Linked DNA regions of Xenopus tropicalis. The main gene of each other region encodes a partner of the protein of the gene in region 2 in a complex. Links are inferred from orthologs where the notes say so. Each region holds a gene or a part of one and is shown on either strand. Other genes may lie near its edges. The genes, in order: slc7a8, slc3a2, slc7a11 and slc7a10.

The links.
Region 1: the proteins of slc3a2 (region 2) and slc7a8 are in contact, whole or in part, in a cryo-EM structure (PDB 7CMI), measured with the Homo sapiens proteins. The link is inferred for Xenopus tropicalis from reciprocal best matches to the Homo sapiens genes SLC3A2 and SLC7A8. Residues at the interface, in NP_002385.3 of Homo sapiens: Thr162, Gly163, Leu164, Ser165, Lys166, Glu167, Leu170, Ala173, Gly174, Trp178, Arg182, Leu185, Phe189, Trp190, Trp193, Met196, Leu197, Gly199, Ala200, Ile203, Ile204, Ala207, Arg209, Cys210, Arg211, Leu213, Lys532, Arg534, Asp558, Gln559; in NP_036376.2 of Homo sapiens: Leu147, Leu150, Phe151, Pro152, Thr153, Cys154, Phe155, Pro157, Ser159, Gly160, Leu163, Leu164, Ala166, Ile167, Leu170, Leu171, Trp174, Gln294, Ser352, Met356, Val359, Glu481, Thr484, Leu485, Gln488, Lys489, Met490, Cys491, Val492, Val493.
Region 3: the proteins of slc3a2 (region 2) and slc7a11 are in contact, whole or in part, in a cryo-EM structure (PDB 7P9V), measured with the Homo sapiens proteins. The link is inferred for Xenopus tropicalis from reciprocal best matches to the Homo sapiens genes SLC3A2 and SLC7A11. Residues at the interface, in NP_002385.3 of Homo sapiens: Glu167, Leu170, Ala173, Trp178, Thr181, Arg182, Phe189, Trp190, Trp193, Met196, Leu197, Gly199, Ala200, Ile203, Ile204, Ala207, Arg209, Cys210, Glu212, Leu213, Lys299, Arg534, Gln559; in NP_055146.1 of Homo sapiens: Leu151, Phe154, Phe155, Ile156, Gln157, Cys158, Glu159, Pro161, Leu163, Ala164, Leu167, Ile168, Ala170, Val171, Thr174, Val175, Val178, Gln217, Gln219, Val360, His373, Thr487, Gln489, Ile490, Ile491, Glu493, Val494, Val495.
Region 4: the proteins of slc3a2 (region 2) and slc7a10 are in contact, whole or in part, in a cryo-EM structure (PDB 8WNT), measured with the Homo sapiens proteins. The link is inferred for Xenopus tropicalis from reciprocal best matches to the Homo sapiens genes SLC3A2 and SLC7A10. Residues at the interface, in NP_002385.3 of Homo sapiens: Phe161, Thr162, Gly163, Leu164, Lys166, Leu169, Leu170, Val172, Ala173, Trp178, Arg182, Leu186, Phe189, Trp190, Trp193, Met196, Leu197, Ala200, Ile203, Ile204, Ala207, Pro208, Arg209, Cys210, Arg211, Glu212, Leu213, Arg534; in NP_062823.1 of Homo sapiens: Leu147, Val150, Phe151, Asn153, Cys154, Pro157, Ala160, Val163, Leu164, Met166, Ala167, Met170, Leu171, Trp174, Ser352, Val359, Glu481, Thr484, His485, Trp486, Gln488, Glu489, Leu490, Phe492, Val493, Val494, Tyr495, Gln497.

Annotation. Positions count from the first base shown.
Region 1 is NC_030677.2:139,584,203-139,588,525, reverse strand, and holds the start of slc7a8 (large neutral amino acids transporter small subunit 2), read left to right. Parts: upstream 1-1,520; 5' UTR 1,521-1,729; intron 1,730-4,303; exon of another isoform or gene 4,304-4,323. UniProt on the Homo sapiens protein: Associates with SLC3A2 to form a functional heterodimeric complex that translocates small and large neutral amino acids with broad specificity and a stoichiometry of 1:1.
Region 2 is NC_030680.2:36,599,491-36,603,550, reverse strand, and holds the start of slc3a2 (4F2 cell-surface antigen heavy chain), read right to left. Parts: upstream 2,808-4,060; 5' UTR 2,557-2,807; intron 1-2,556. UniProt on the Homo sapiens protein: Acts as a chaperone that facilitates biogenesis and trafficking of functional transporters heterodimers to the plasma membrane.
Region 3 is NC_030677.2:61,777,163-61,781,243, forward strand, and holds the start of slc7a11 (cystine/glutamate transporter), read left to right. Parts: upstream 1-1,259; 5' UTR 1,260-1,629; coding exon 1,630-1,900; intron 1,901-4,081. UniProt on the Homo sapiens protein: Heterodimer with SLC3A2, that functions as an antiporter by mediating the exchange of extracellular anionic L-cystine and intracellular L-glutamate across the cellular plasma membrane.
Region 4 is NC_030680.2:68,947,620-68,951,181, forward strand, and holds part of slc7a10 (asc-type amino acid transporter 1), read left to right. Parts: intron 1-218; coding exon 219-372; intron 373-1,583; coding exon 1,584-1,707; intron 1,708-1,797; coding exon 1,798-1,901; intron 1,902-3,562. UniProt on the Homo sapiens protein: Associates with SLC3A2/4F2hc to form a functional heterodimeric complex that translocates small neutral L- and D-amino acids across the plasma membrane. Preferentially mediates exchange transport, but can also operate via facilitated diffusion.

The DNA.
Region 1 (4,323 bases), on a different chromosome or scaffold from region 2:
TCTGGGAAAAAATGCTGCAATGCCCACTGCACTTGCTGACATAAATAAGCCCTGATTTGTATGGCCACTTTAGAGGTGCCCAATAAGCTGAATCTTTTAACCTGCCTGATTGATATCTGGGCAATTTCAAGCCAGATATTGTTTGGTTATGGCTGATGTTTCTGCCCCTACACGGGCCCATAAGCTGCCGAATCGGTCCAAGTGACCGATATTGGCAGCTACAATCAGCCCGTGTATGGGGACCTTTAGTCTTGGAACAAGTCAGTAGACACAGTGGCCGACTTGGAAAGGCTGGAAACAGAATACAGGAAGGCAGGAGAGATACTGAACAGATCAGGAAACTGGAACAAGTAGCTTGATTACCTATGGAATTGCCAGAATCAGGGGAGGACATTGGCGGCCAGGGGAAGCAGCAACAGGGATCAGGTTTGGGCTGCCGGGGCCCGCCAGGGCTGGGGCCCACCGGGTTTTTTCCCGGCCAAGTCTGACCCTGCTGATCATTTACAGATAATTGTCTCTATGTGTGTTTTAGCAGAGGCAATTCTCAGTACTGTCTATGGCAGGGTATTTTCTGGCCACAACAATTGCTGCTACTAAGTAGCTTCATGTGTCTTCACCCTACAATGCAAGAGCTGCAACATACCTAGCAGCCATGAATGCCTTTGTGCCTAGTGACAAAGCAGCAGATGTCAGCCTTGCTGTGGACACAGCATCGTGACAACTAGCAATGGAGCTGTCTCTTTAGGGCTGTGAAAGACAGGGAGATTAGTCACCACGCGTCAAATCTCCCTTGTCGCGGGTGACTAATCTGCCCGAAATGCCATCCCACCGGCTAGAATGTAAATCGCCGGTGGGATGGCATACGCGGTATCAAAATCACCGAAGTTTCCTCTCAAGGCAACTATGCCGATTTCGGCAAATCGCAGTGCGGCATATGCCATCCCACCGGTGATTTACATGCTAGCCTGTGGGATGGCATTTCGGGCAGATTAGTCGCCCGCGACAAGGGAGATTTGCCGCGTGGCGATAACTCACAGCCCTTAAGTTAGAAGCGTTATGTTCTGACGCCAGAACGGGATATAACCTTGATTGTAAGAAAAACATTTACAAGGATGTGTATTGTAATATAGATTAAAGTAACATTATAATTATTATTTACTTTTATATATTAGAGCAGCAACTTTTTCGGGACAGTCATACAGACTGTTCCTTAGGGGCATTTTACTAATACTGCAGATAGACATTACTGTGACACATCAGTCTGTACCAACTCAGTGGAGCAAGAAGAAAAACACACTGTAATTACTGGGAGTGATGTAATTTGTGCTTAATAATACGCAAAATGGGAAACAATAAAGGATTCCCTACACAAGGAAGTAGAACACAGCAATGTCCCCCCTTCTGCGTGTTTATCTGCAAGAGAAACCCTGTGGGTAGGAACACACTGTACGGCCAGAGGGAGGAGCTGAGCGGCAGCGATATAAAGGCTTCGACTGAGCGTTTTGAACAGAGGAAGGAGACTGGGTGGTGGTGTGATCAGGTGCGCAGAACAGATAAACAGGCTGTGTGGGAGATAAGAAAACACACACATATAGAGGAACTGGCCATAGCACTGCCCTGACACACACACCAGCCTTTTCCTGCTGGACAAGAGATGCACTAAAGCTGCCACTAGTCACACAGGAGATGCGGAGACAATCCTGAAAGAGGACGCAGAACACCGGATCGGGTGAGAAATGGGGTCACCGGGTGTGGTACTGGGGTCGCACGTCAAGGGGCAGATTGGCTGGGTTTAGCTTGTAATTATGATACAGCAGTGTGGAAGAATCATTTATTGCTTTCTGTATTTATATTTTATATCTCATTACGTTAGACTCTCAGTAGCTCCCACTGTACATTACATGTTCTGTATTGTATATTGTTATTATTCTGTGGTATGTACATTGCTGTATTGCTCTGTATCTATTGATAAATCTATTCTTATACTATATCAGAAACTTTCCCAGAATGTCATAAAGCAGGGTTCACAAAGCAGAGATTTGACCATGCTGTTTAATCTAGGTCACCCTGATTCATGTGACATTTACTTATAAATAAAATTCATTCTAAACTAAATAATGAAGGTGACTAAGACCTTGCTCTTACTGGCACATAACAGAGGATGCTAGAAATTGCACATACATGCATCCATGTCTATGGCGGGGAATATGACCAAGATCACATTTGTGCCTTGTTATTTTAGGGTCATGGTAACCCCACAGAGACACTGTTGAGTGTAAAGCTGGCCATACACATTAAAATTTTTAAAAGATCTTTTAGTTATCATAGAACCAAGCTTATCCTGAAACGACTGTTTAAAAGTATGATTTGCCCATCAACAAAAGCTAACATTTGAAGCAATATTGTCTAGTTGAAGCTAGGAAAATGACCTGCTTGGTCCGGCAAACAGTTGGACAGTGGGCGAATTTCATTGCTAATGACGAAAACTATTAAACCTGCCCAATTTTCAGACCGATGTCGGATGAAAAATTGCTAAATGTTTGATCGTTCGGTGCCCACTAACCATATGATAATTTGACGGATTTGTCGGATCGCACTGAAATTGTTCGTTAGGGAGAGAAAAATCTTAACCTGTATGGCCAGCTTAAGTGCTGGAACACTTAATTTACTTCTGAAAGTGCTGTGAGCTCAGTACAATTTAGATTGAGGTCTTAAAAAGGGGTATGTGCCGAGTGCAGTTGTGTTGCACCTACTGCATTTGCGTCAGATTCACCAAAATTAACACAATTGTGTGCACATTTCATTGCAAATTAGACAAAACTGCACGCATTTCCATTTGACGTCATTCTCGGTGTTCCCCGTGTGAGTGACATCTGTGCTCAATTCTTTAGGTACAAACAGCACTCAATTCTGAACAGAAGGCAGGAAGAACTGAGTAGTACAACAACTATGCAGAAGTTCAATGAGCACATGTTGCCGCGAGTACCTTTAGTAAAAGTTGACTCCAGGGAAGTTGCAGGGACTGTGACTGCACTTATGTATGTGAATGAGCCCTCATGCTAAATCTAGTACTAGGCACGTTGCTGTGGATGCAAAAAAGCCATAGGCTTGCAGTAAGTACAGTCTCATTGATGCTCTGTGCATGGCATGTCTAAATGATGTGCAATCTAAGGGGTGTCCAAGGGGACAGCCATGTACTACCACCACATGAATGCAGCGCTGCTGAACCCAGACAACATTGTATTTAAGGGAGTAGTAGCTAGCAGAGACATTTTCCAAGAGAACTTTCAATGTCATTGTATTTTACATCATAGGGCATACCATGTTGTAGAATGCAGTGTACTCAAGTTTCAGTGAGTCATGATGACACAAGTGACATCACCAATTACCTAATATAAGTGATTACATCACTGTGCACCATTATTCAGTTATCTTGTGTATGATAACCAAATACTTGACTTCTCTAGCTGAGCACTGAAAACAACCTGCCATTTGGTATCTCATTATATCCCTTGGGAAACACTTTTGCCTTGTTAGTATAGTACAAGTTTGTATTGCTGTACATATCATTTATGAGTTGTACACCTTATGTAGGTTTTTTTGATTCTCAACTATATAAGACAATTTTGTGCATTGTTCCTAAACCATTTAATGTATGATGTAAGCATCCTTTGAATAAAAAATTGCTATTAAACCATGTAAGAATATAGGTGACCTTAATAGTTACAACATAAAGTTTATCCGGAAACTCTGGGTTCTGAAATTTCTGAAATATGGATAGAATGTTGATCCAAAGAAAAGCCGATTATCATTTTGGAAGTTGAGAAGGATTCTTTCCACTATTGGGCCCAGAAAAATCTGCAAACTTTGCCTTTTGGATAAACTGCAACATAATTAAATTAATAGTTAAAAATAATAAGAAAAAATTATACCAAGTCATCCAAAATATTAACCTCAGTTATAGGGCAAGGAAAATGAATGCCACTGGGGGGAGGGGGGGGGTGTCAAAATGGTTTGTATTTCATTGAAGGTTGCCAATATCTTACACCTACCCTAGTAAATTTAGCCTTCCAATTAGACTTGCAGATTTTAGGGCAGATTTTAGATGCCAATTTGAGACTTTTAGACTGATTCGGCGGCATGCTCGATGGGTGTACAAAACTGACAACTGGTCTAAAATTGGCCAGATCTCAGTTGGGCAAGTTTGATTATATGTTGGATTGGGGAACGCCTTGGCTTGTTGATGTGGTCCTTGGTCCGACAGCGCCTCTGTCCGCCTTTTTAATTCAGTCATTTTGCCCTAGAGCCAAATGATCAAATTAG
Region 2 (4,060 bases):
CATTCAGGGCTGAATCGGCAGGTAAGGAGGTAGAAACAATAGGATTTCTACCTCCTTCTGCCGATTCAGCTCTGAAGGGAGAATTTTGGTCAGGCGCCTTCTATGGCGCCCGATCAAAATTTTCTAACCTGGCCGATCGACGAGCCGACCGATTTCAGCAGCTTCCTGCGACATCGGTCGGCTCGCTGACATACCATACACGCACCGATTATCGTACGAAACGAGGTTTCGTACGATAATATCGGTGCGTGTATGGCCACCTTAACTCAAACCCTCTGACCTGTCTATGCAGTTTTTTAAGCCAAAGAATAATTAATGGAGACATTACAGACCAACCTCCAGCTGTTGTTGTACTACAGTGCAGCCCCAGTCAGAGCTTTGAAGCTTTGGTATGTGCACAAGGGCTATCTGTTCCCAGCTCTAGGGGAGGAGGGAGAGAGCGGTTCTGATTCTTCTAAGAAATAGGGAACAGAGCTCCATGTACTGGAAAACAGAGGGGAAGGGGGAGAAGGAAGAAAGCTAGGTGTGGAAATGTTCAGAATGCTTTTACAGCTCTGTTTTTCAGTTCCTGACATTGACGTCTGTTGCGGCTGTGCACACTTTTTAATAACATCCTGGAATTCATTTTAGAGGAGAGGAAGGACGCTAGCACAATGTAGGTTAAAAAAAACAATTCTCAGTGCTACTGGCAGGCAACAAATCTCCTGAAAACGCCTCTCCTTTCACTAAAATATGAAACACTGCATGTGAGCCACTTTACACGCGGTGATCCAGATAAATTGCGAAAAATGTGCAGGAATTTCTAGTTCAAGAAGGTGCATTTACAGGGGCAGTAGAGGGTTTCCATTTTTCCTTTATTTTTGTCTTTTTTCCCTATAAATAACATTGGCATCGAGCATAATTTTTACTGCTGGGCCAGTAAAATACCACCCAGGCTGCAACCCTAAGGGGCACATTTACTAACCCACGAACGGGCCGAATGTGTCCGATTGCGTTTTTTTCGTAATGATCGGTAATTTTGCGATTTTTTTCGGCGTTTTTACGACTTTTTCGTATTTTTTGGGCGTCTTTACGATTTTTGCGTAAAAACGCGAGTTTTTCGGCGTCTTTACGATTTTTGCGTAAAAACGCGAGTTTTTCGTAGCCATTACGAAAGTTGCGCGAAACGTCGCGCCTTTTAAGTTTTAACGCTACGAAAAAGGCGCGACTTTGCGCGCAAGTGTTAACGCTACGAAAAAATCGCGACTTTGTGCAACTTTCGTAATGGCTACGAAAAACTCGCGTTTTTACGCAAAAATCGTAAAGACGCCGAAAAACTCGCGTTTTTACGCAAAAATCGTAAAGACGCCGTAAAAATCGCAAAAAATACTAAAAAGTCGCAAAATGTTTGTTTCCAATCGGAATTTTTCCAATTCGGATTCGAAATCGTGTCTTAGTAAATCAGCCCCTAAGTATAACCCTTGTTCAACTTAAGTTCAAAGAAGAGGCCTTGTGCTGAATATAATTTTTGCCTATTGTTGTAATTAGAAAAAAAATGGGTTTAAATGGGAGAAAATTCTTGTTTTGCTTCAGCAAAACAATACAATAAGTCACAAGGTGGCACATTAATAAGCCACAGTGCTGTCACCATAATAACAAGCTCCAGAGAGTGGGGTTGCCTGAGCCACACTGCAGCATGTTACCATGGTAACATCAGAGGTACGGCTGGCAGTAAGTTACCATGGTAACATCCGAGGTTTGGCTGTAAATGGAGGCTGCATTTTAAGTGACATTATTAGGTCAGGGTATACCATCACATGAAAAAAAAAAAAAAACAACAAAAATGGAAATGTTGATGTGGGACGAGACAGATTCTTTATAAAGTTGCACTTCCAGGATTTGCAGAGCTGGCATGGGCTCTTATTAGAGCAATTATACTTGTGCTTACTGCTTCCCAGCCCCAACCCTTCCCCTCCGGTCTCTCTTAGATACACTCAGTAACATGCAGAGCAGAGAGATTTGTTCAGCATAGCTCCACACCCCCATCCCCCACCACCCAAGCCCTCCTCTTGCCTTTGAAGCCGGCTCCAGAGCTGACCTTCCTGCACCAACCCACTCCGACCAAGCTGCACCCTGGGAGCCCCTCTTTCCCTCATCATCTGCACCCTGGCACCCCTCTTTCCCCCATCATCTGCACCCTGGCACCCCTCTTTCCCCCATCATCTGCACCCTGGGAGCCCCTCTTTCCCTCATCAAGCTGCACAGCATGACTGTGTCCCTGCTTCTCGCCTCACAAGCTCCACACACTGAAAGCTCACTGACTGTGCAAGAACACACTTGTACTCAGAATGTAATTTTAGGTGGAAATTGTAAGAAGCAGGAAACATACAATTAAGGAAGTAGGGGGGGGAACGCGTCGGCGGAAATCCACGCATGGTCAGTGTTTTGCTGTTCATTGCCAATCCCACCCACACATACATACGTACAGACACTCTTTTTTGCCCCTGCCATGCGGTGTTTCCCCGCCCCAGCCATTCATAACTCGTAAGTTCTTCCTGCTTCCTCCTCCCATTTTACCTTGCCCATGATGCTTTTCTTTTGTCTCTGGTTTACGCTTTGGGCTGGCATTTTCCTTCCTCACAAAATGGCTCCGGATAACCAACCTAAAATGTCCGCCTGGCATTCCCCTGCCCAAACCTGTCGGCACCTCAGCTCTGCTGCATGATACTGAGCGCCTCAGGCTGACAGAGGACTAAAAGAGAAGGGAAGCGCTGGGGAAGCAATGAGCAGTCTGGTAAGATTCCCTGGCAGCTCTGCAAAGGATTTACTGCCCCTTTATATGTACTAGGCAACTCTAGCTGTTACATTCTAAATAGACAGTTGGTCTCAACCTTATTGCTGCTAATAATTCCTGCTCATTCTGTTATGTTAATGGTTTGCTGCTATCTGCTTGAAATGTATAAATACATATGTAATGATGTACAATAAAGTGCTGAAACACAGTTTAATACAATACTGATATCCTCTGTTTTGTACTATTTACTAGAAATGTTATCTTCCTCTTTTTCAGGCTTAAGGTCCCCATACATGGGCCGATTCTAGCTACCAATAAAGGTCCCTTAGACTGATTCAGCAGCTAATCGGCCCATGTATGGGCACTGCCGCCGCCTGAAATCAGCCAGATCAGGATCGGGCAGGTTTAAAATTCTAGTTGGATCGGGGACCGCATTGGCAAGTTGATGCGGTCCCCGGACCGACTTTGCTTATGCCCGTCATTATAATTCGATCGTTTGGCCCCAGGGCGAATTAGCCTAGATTCTCCCGATATCATCGCCAAGCGAGCGGATCTTATGGTGTATGGGTACCTTTACATGGAGAACAAAACATAAATGGGTTTGTAAATGTAAAATGTAAAATAGTCTTACATTTGCCTACATCTAGTAACCAATAGCAACCAATCAGATGTTTTTTCATAGCTGACCGCTTTATTCTACTCGCTGATATTACTCTGGGTTACTAGTTTATTACATTACACACAAAATGTAGAGATTTTTATTATATTATGCCTAATGTCGAATGGAAAAGTGAACGTGAATATGCTGCTGGATTCACTAACAGTTTTACAGCTTGCATTGGGATTAGGGTTGCCACTTCTGAAGGCTTTCTTAACCAGGCAAGGGGGTGGGACCATGATGTTGTGGGGCTGGGAGGGGCTGTGATGTCATGGGGGTGGGGCTATGGTGCGGCGACAATGTTTCTGAGTCCTGCCCAGTTTTCTTAATTTGGGAAACCGAGCGTGAGGTTTTGACCTGGGCAGCCCTTCTGAAACCTGGGCTGTCCTGGACAAAACTGGACAGGTGGCAACCCTAATTGGGATGCAGTTCAAAATGTTAAGGCACCCCCCAGTGATTGCATTCACTTTCCTGATTCACCAAGCTGGTGTTACTGTTAGCAAAGAACAGTACAAGCCTGGGGTATATGCAGGAGAGCGATCCTCTTCTTTCTTTGCACCGGCCGAGAATGTGCAGTTGAGTGAATAGCCACACTGCTTGCAATGTATAAATAAATATGTAATAATATG
Region 3 (4,081 bases), on a different chromosome or scaffold from region 2:
CTACTTGCAGATGACTGAGAAAAAATAATTATTGGTTGGTTCCTATGGGTTACTGCCCAGATGTAAATTTGCCCAGTGTTAATAAATGAGTCCCTGTGTTACTGCAGTATAAAGACAGACATGACAATCCATGATGTCCATGATGTTGATGTAATATTGTTTGATTGGTGCCCCTGCTTATGTGCAGCACACACTTTGTGATGGTCAGTCACCTCCTTGGGTCCCGTGACAAATTTTTGCAACCATTTTGCAGAAAAATCTGCCAAAATTCGCTGCAAATCCATGCCTGGCAAAAAGTGTCACTCATCACTACCCACCTTAGCACAGTGCAGCTGGGTGTCTGACATGGCAGGTGCGCTTAAAAAAACTCAAATTCCAGTTATGGTTCAAAAACTTGTATGTCTGATATTTATTAAGTGCAAACAACCCAAAAACTCGAATGTAAAAATGTGCCATCTAAAAGCTTGTGAGTTTCTATAGAAGTTAATGGGAGCTGTCCTAGGCAAAGTCAAGTTGTATGTTCGATTCGAGTTTGTTTCGAGTTTGAACCTCAAGTTTTTTTCTTATTTACGTAAGTTTACCACATAAATAAATAAACGAACATTTCATATGATATGCAATTTTAATCAATTTAGAAAAACAAATTTAAAAATTGATTAATAATTGATAAATAAGCCCATAGGTTCTGTGGGACCACAGTAAATTGACCATTGAAGCCAAAGGATTGCTGCTTGCGCATGCACACATTATGCTCAAAATGTTGTTGGCGAATGCTGAGTGCGCTTTCCCACCTGGAATTTAAAGAAAACTTCAGGAGATGGAGGTAAAATTGGGAGAATGCTATCAATGGACAGGGGGGCTGGGGGAGAGAAGGCCAAATTGGGTAACTCCCAGAAAAATATTGGAATTGACAGCTCTGTGTGTTCTTTCGTGGGGCAAACAGGGAAATGGTAAGTGGCAGTGGGTCTGATGACCACGTTCCTTGACACTGCCCTGGTCATGGCTCTATTAAATGTTTAAATGATTTTTGGTAGACAAAGTATGGTGATCCAAATTATGGAAAGATTCTTTATATGGAAAACCTTAGGTCCCGAGGATTCTTCATAACAGGTCCCATACCTGTATTTAGAAAACTTTGCACTTTCCCAGGCAACATTTAATCAGTTCAGCTGCCAAAGATTAAATATCCTTTGTTCCCCAAGCATTCTGCAAGTCACAATGATCTGCTTAAAACAACAGGAGTTCCTGTCACTCCTACAGATTTGTATAAGCAGATCAGGCTTTGCCTTGTGCAACATGCTGTTTGTGGAAGTGCTGAGTAATACAAAAGTTTTCATGTGGCTGATGCAAACCTGTGAGATTTGCATCATCATTAAGCAGCAATAACCCGGCATGACAGGAGCATAATGAAGTAGAAGTGGTCAGAGTCATACGGAAGTTAGGCTGGTCTGTCCCAGTACATAAGGGGAGCACTGGGAAACAACAGGTGCTGCTGAGAAGTAACAGAGAGACCGCTCCTGGAATTGTTCATTGGAAAGTTTGAGCAGTTCTCGCAGCTCACGCCTGTCACAAACCACCTGCACGGCACTTTTTCTGTTGGCAAGGATCCCTGCTACTGTTCAGCTCATCATGTATAGGCAAGCAGCTGATGATGTGTACTCTGTCACCAAAGGAAAGGACTCACGCCGTATGTTGCCCTCAGCTGACAAAAAGATGTCTGAGAAAGGAGAAAAAGTGGTGCTGAAAAAGAAAGTAACTCTGTTGAGAGGGATTTCTATAATCATTGGAACTATTATTGGAGCTGGGATTTTTATTTCTCCCAAAGGAATTCTCCAAAATACAGGGAGTGTAGGAATGTCGCTGGTTGTATGGACAGCCTGTGGCATTCTCTCATTATTTGGTGAGTGAGCAGCTTGCATTTGTACAGTTTGCTATTTATTGATGATTTTAGCCCAGATGTGCGATGTGGGAATCTAGCCGGTTTTATTAAAGGGGTTGTTCACCTTTAAATTAACGTTTAGGATGATGTAGAGTGCTACTCTAAGACGCTAAGCTAGTGGTCTTCATTTATTATTATTTGTGGGTTTTGAATAATTTAGCTTTTTGTTCAGCAGCTCTAAAGATTAAAATTTTAGCAGCTATCTGTTTTCTGGGGTCCATTTTAACCTAGCAACTAGGCAGTGGTGTGAGTGAGAGGCTGGAATATGAATAGATTCTAACATGGAAACATAAGTAATAAAAAGTAACAATATCAATAGGGTTGTAGCCTCACAGAGCAATAGATTTTTTGGCTGCGGTCAGTGACCTTAATTTTAAAACTGGAAAGAGGCAAATAATTCAAAACCTATAAAAAATAAACACCAATTAAAAGGTTGCTTACAATAGGCCATTGTATAACATGCTAAAAGTTAACCTGAAGGTGAACCACCCATTTAAGGTGACTCAGCACAAATGGCAGTTAGGCAAGAAAAGGTCTGCTAATTGCTCTGCCAACAGTAAAATGTAAATGAAAGGTTTTTGTGAAAAGGGAAATGTATAGAATGTTTCTTTATCTAGATTTATATTTTTATTGCATGCATTTATTTTTAATTACAGAATGCAGTTTTAAGGGAAACTTATGTTTCAAATAAACCTTAGACCTTATTCATTTCATTTTTTTCCCATTACTAGTTGCACTCTGCAACTTAAGTTAGAGACCCCCATTTCATTATTCATTTACCCCTGTTTTTGTAACACAATCCTTCTTTCTCCAATCTTTTTCATGCAGGGCTATATTTGCCCATTGAATTCAAGAATGATGAGCTTCAAAAGTTTATAGTGGTATGAGATTTACTATGTGGAGATCTGATGTCCAAAAAACCTTTTGTGATTTTATATTCATGTATTTTTAGTAGCCTTATGACATGGTGCTCCACTTTACCCAAGTATTCTGGATAATAGATATATATATAATTTAGAAACTCCCACAATTAAAAAATAAAGAACAACTGCAAACTTTCTTTAAACACCAATGTCATGTATTAATTAAACGGGAACTATTCCCACAGGCATTGTTGACTGAAAGTATCAGGACATAGTCCCCCCGCCTACACCTAAATCTCATCTGTGTACCTATGCCAGCATCTGGCGTTGCTCCTTAACAGGCACTTTTTATGTAGTGTACTACCAAAGCCCAAATATTGCCCTGTCTGCCCAAAGGCAGAAGGGTCACAGGGAACCTTGCTTACCATGCATTCCTGCAATAAAATAAAAAGGACATTTGGGTCTGTTCCAGCTGGCAATATTTACTGTTTAATGTGCCAACATATGACCATAGATTCAACCCTACTGGATTTAAAATGAACAATTTTTCTTTCATTTATTGGCTATGTATTAGATGTTCTTTTTTTATGGTCATGGAAGTTCAGTAACCACTGTACCAGCAGATGGGTGGATTTACAAATCTATTACACAACTTCAGCTGTTTGTCATGACGTTGATGGGTAAGGGTGTGTACTGCAATACCTAAGCCTCATCAGTGTGCTGGGTATTTGCATTCTGGTTAGGATATATGACTCATTTGGTTTACAGATGAAACATCATTTTAGTTTGGTGTGCTATCGCATACTATCTGGTTACAAATATATGGTTTATTTTAATCAAAACTCACCCTTACTATTAAGGTGGGAATGAAACCTCTACTTACGTTCTGTTAGTAACTGGGATCTAATAATTGTAGTGTAAGTGACAGGTTGGTGCAGCCTTAAGCACAAAATTTATGTACATGACAGGAGTGGTTTATTGCTTCTAAACATGCACAACAAGAATTAGCGGGGGTATAGTGGTGCAAGAGAGGAAAGCCTATAAAAACACAGGCGTTCTTGTACGTACAGTATAAGGACATATTAGGAATGCCTTTGACTGGGTGTGGAATTTGCCTTAGAGGGATATTATCTTACCTGTTTGGAACTCCCTAAATCACTAAAGATTTATGCAACTTTTCTCATTGTGTAAGACTTACTGCATGTCACACAGGTAGAATTGAAGATGGCTAGAAATGGAAATAATTATTTGTAAAAGAACAGTTTGTTAGCTCATTCAT
Region 4 (3,562 bases), about 32 Mb from region 2:
CCATCTTTGATGTGTATTAGGAACCTATATCAAAACTAGAAACTACTAGAGCCAACTGGTGTAAAAATACAGTTATACCAGGTAAACTGCTTGGACTACTCAGCCTTGGGTCATCACCTTCCATTCTGATTTTACACAAAGGTGAAGGGATTGGACATTTTGCATTTCAATGACAATTTCTGTCCCACCCCTGATGTGTGTTTGGTATTAACCCACAGGAAACTACGAAGAGCTAAAGCCAAGCAACGCATTTAATTTCTGGATGATTCCAACAGTGGGGCAGCTGGCACTTGCTTTTTTACAAGCATCTTTTGCATTCAGCGGTTGGAACTTTCTTAATTATGTCACAGAAGAGATGGTTGATCCTAGAAGGCAAGTAGTGTCTGTTTGTTGTATTTTTTGGAATACAATTAAAATATGCGTATCCTAATACTGTGCCGCATTATCAGGTAATCACGTTACATATAAAGAGAGAGGTCAGTGACATACATGATTAGTTTGGCAAGGTCACCAAATGAGCAGATCTAAATCATGATTGGCCCACATACTGGGCCAAATTGGGCTGATGTGATCTTTGGCCTTGAAATCAACCACTGGGACCTATGGAAACCATTTGGATAAGAACCATTGGTGTTCCAAATACACAGGCAGATAACCTGCTTACTTGGTCTGAATGTGTTGACCTTACCCTTGCAGTAAATAACTGAAATCCTACAATTTTTCTTTGTTTCCCCCAACCCTCCCAGTTCTGAAAGGAACTGCTAACAGATAACCAAGTGCTATACATTGACCAACTGCTAGAATCTCCTTCATATGTTATCACATAATAGCTTCTTGGCATGTTACTGTATTAGTGGTTCTCCCAGAATAACACAACAGGTAAAAAGTCCACATCATGTAGACCCGTTGACTAGATAGGGGCCATAGTGGACCACTCTGTAATACACCAATTCTATTAGGATTTAATCTCCAGACTTTGGAAATATATCATAGTTATGAGTTAAATCCCTCTATTTAAGAATACAGAATGTCAAGTAGAATTAAAATAATTTAGGGATGCACTGAGTCCAGGAAGTGCCTGGCCAAACCAAATCTGAATCCTTAAAATCACATGACTTTTCATCACATAAACATGACCAGTTTTCTTTAGGATTCAGATTTGGTTCAGGATTTGGGCAAATCTTTCACGAAGGATTCAGGACTCACCAAAATAGTGGATTTGGGGCATCCCTAAAATAAATGGCACATTAAAACAAAATTATGAGCTGGTAACATTTATGTTGGCAGAGGAGAGGTTTCACACTTGAAGTAGAAATAATTACAAATGTATATATATATACAGGGTTGGACTGGGGGATGCAGGGCCCACCAGGGCCCCCCACCCTCAAGGGGCCCCCTGCTGCAGCCACAACACACTCGAAGGGGCCACCCGCCCAACCCCAGTGGAGGGCAGTGGGGATCTGGTCTGGGCCGGCCCAGTCTAACCCTGTATATACATCATGATAGTAGATCTGTAATGTTTGGCAATAAGCCATTAAAGTGCTTTATTCATTTTGCACTAATACTGAGCTTCTTTTTACTAGGAACCTACCTCGTGCCATATTCTTATCCATCCCTTTGGTGACATTTGTATACACTTTCACCAACATCGCATACTTTACTGCTATGTCACCTCAAGAACTCATGTCTTCAAATGCCGTTGCAGTTGTAAGTAGAAAGGCTGTGCCCGTATCTCAGACAAACTGTGCTGTGCCTCCTACCTCTATATTTCAGCATCTTTACCTTCTGTTGGTTTAGACATTTGGTGAAAAGCTACTGGGTTATTTTTCCTGGATCATGCCAGTCTCAGTGGCGCTGTCCACTTTCGGAGGGATAAATGGATACCTCTTTACCTCATCAAGGTTTGAGGAAGTATGATCTAACACTGTAGTTTTAGCAGCTAACACCATCAATCTGATAATATTCTCAAATCTTTGATCAAGCTTTACAGTAGTTTTAAAAATAGAGAGTATCCAAAAGATTTAGCATTTAACATATTTGACTACTGATTACTTTCGCTCATTAAATATGCCTTAAGATTGACTTTCATCATTATTATTGACTTACATAAAATTGTTAACATTTGTTCTTTGCTACTTGTGTTTACAACACATATAATACATTTACACATTTAATATGTAGAGTATGCTTTCTTTTTCTGTGTAGTTTCCTAGAGTGTATCTATAAAGATACTTAAAATATTTTGAGACTAAGCTGTGTTTTTGTGATTGATATATCAGCTGACTTGTCCCCTAAAGCAGTAGCATTTTTATTTTGCCTCTTGTTTTGTTGTACTGTAGGAGTCAATTTTGTGAAGGGCAGGGTGCAAAGTGCAAAAACATTGTGCAATCCACCATATAGGAGAATTGGTGCAGGTCTCTTTGCTCCAAATCAGAGTGCAGAGACCTGTGTTCACCCTACTTATTCAGGTCAAATCTCTGATTTTTACAACATATTCTACTTTTAAAAACCCTTGACTCTTAAAAGTCTTACTTTATTTTTTCTCATGTCCACTAATAATTTTGACTTCCTTTTAATGAAGATAACCCATGACTGGATCCCCCTTTTTCCTTCCATGAATTCAGGCAGAAATAATCTGAAACATACCTGTGCTGGTATTTACAGAGAATTCACATTAAGATTGATAAAGGTAAAAGTTAGGAAATTGGGGACATTTAATACCCTTTTTGTAGTATGCACAGTGCTACAAATCACCAGGGCAGCCATCAGAGAGGAGAGGGGGTACTGTCAGGCCCAGTACAGTAATCTTCGTACAAATGTCACATTGCAAAAGTTATACTAATACACAAGCTTTGCATAAAGTGACACCAAAACTTATGTAATGTATGTAACGTCCACAAAAACTGGCTATAAACTTATGTAACTTGTTTATCAAGCAATGTGTCAATGACAATGCAGAAAAGCTTGTCAGGGGCAGGTAGGGGCAAACTCCACTGACCACCAATGAAATGAAAAACTTAAGGTAAATTCCACTGACTTATTTGAACATTAATATTCATTTTAACTATGTACTGTATATGAACTACTTATTACAAGTATGGGACCTTTTATCCAGAATGCTTGGTACCTGGAGTTTTCCGGATAAGGGATCTTTCTGTAATTTGTATACAATACATTATCTACTAAAAAATAATTTTAACATTAATTAAACCCAATAGGTTTTTAATTCTTCCAATAAGTATCAATTTTATCTTAATTAAAATCAAGTACAGGTATGGGACCTGTTATCCAGAATGCTTGGGACCTGGGGTTTCCCAGATAAGGGATCTTTCCATAATTTGGATCTCCATAACTCAAGTCTGCTAAAAATCATTTGAATAAACCAAATAGGCTTGTTTTGCTTCCAATAAGGATTAATTATATCTTAGTTGGGATCAAGAACAATGTACTGTTTTTAATTACAAAGAAAAAGGAAATCATTTGTAAATATTAGAATTATTTTATTAAAATGCAGTCTATGGGAGATGACCTTTCCGTAATTCAGAACTTTCTAGATAATGGG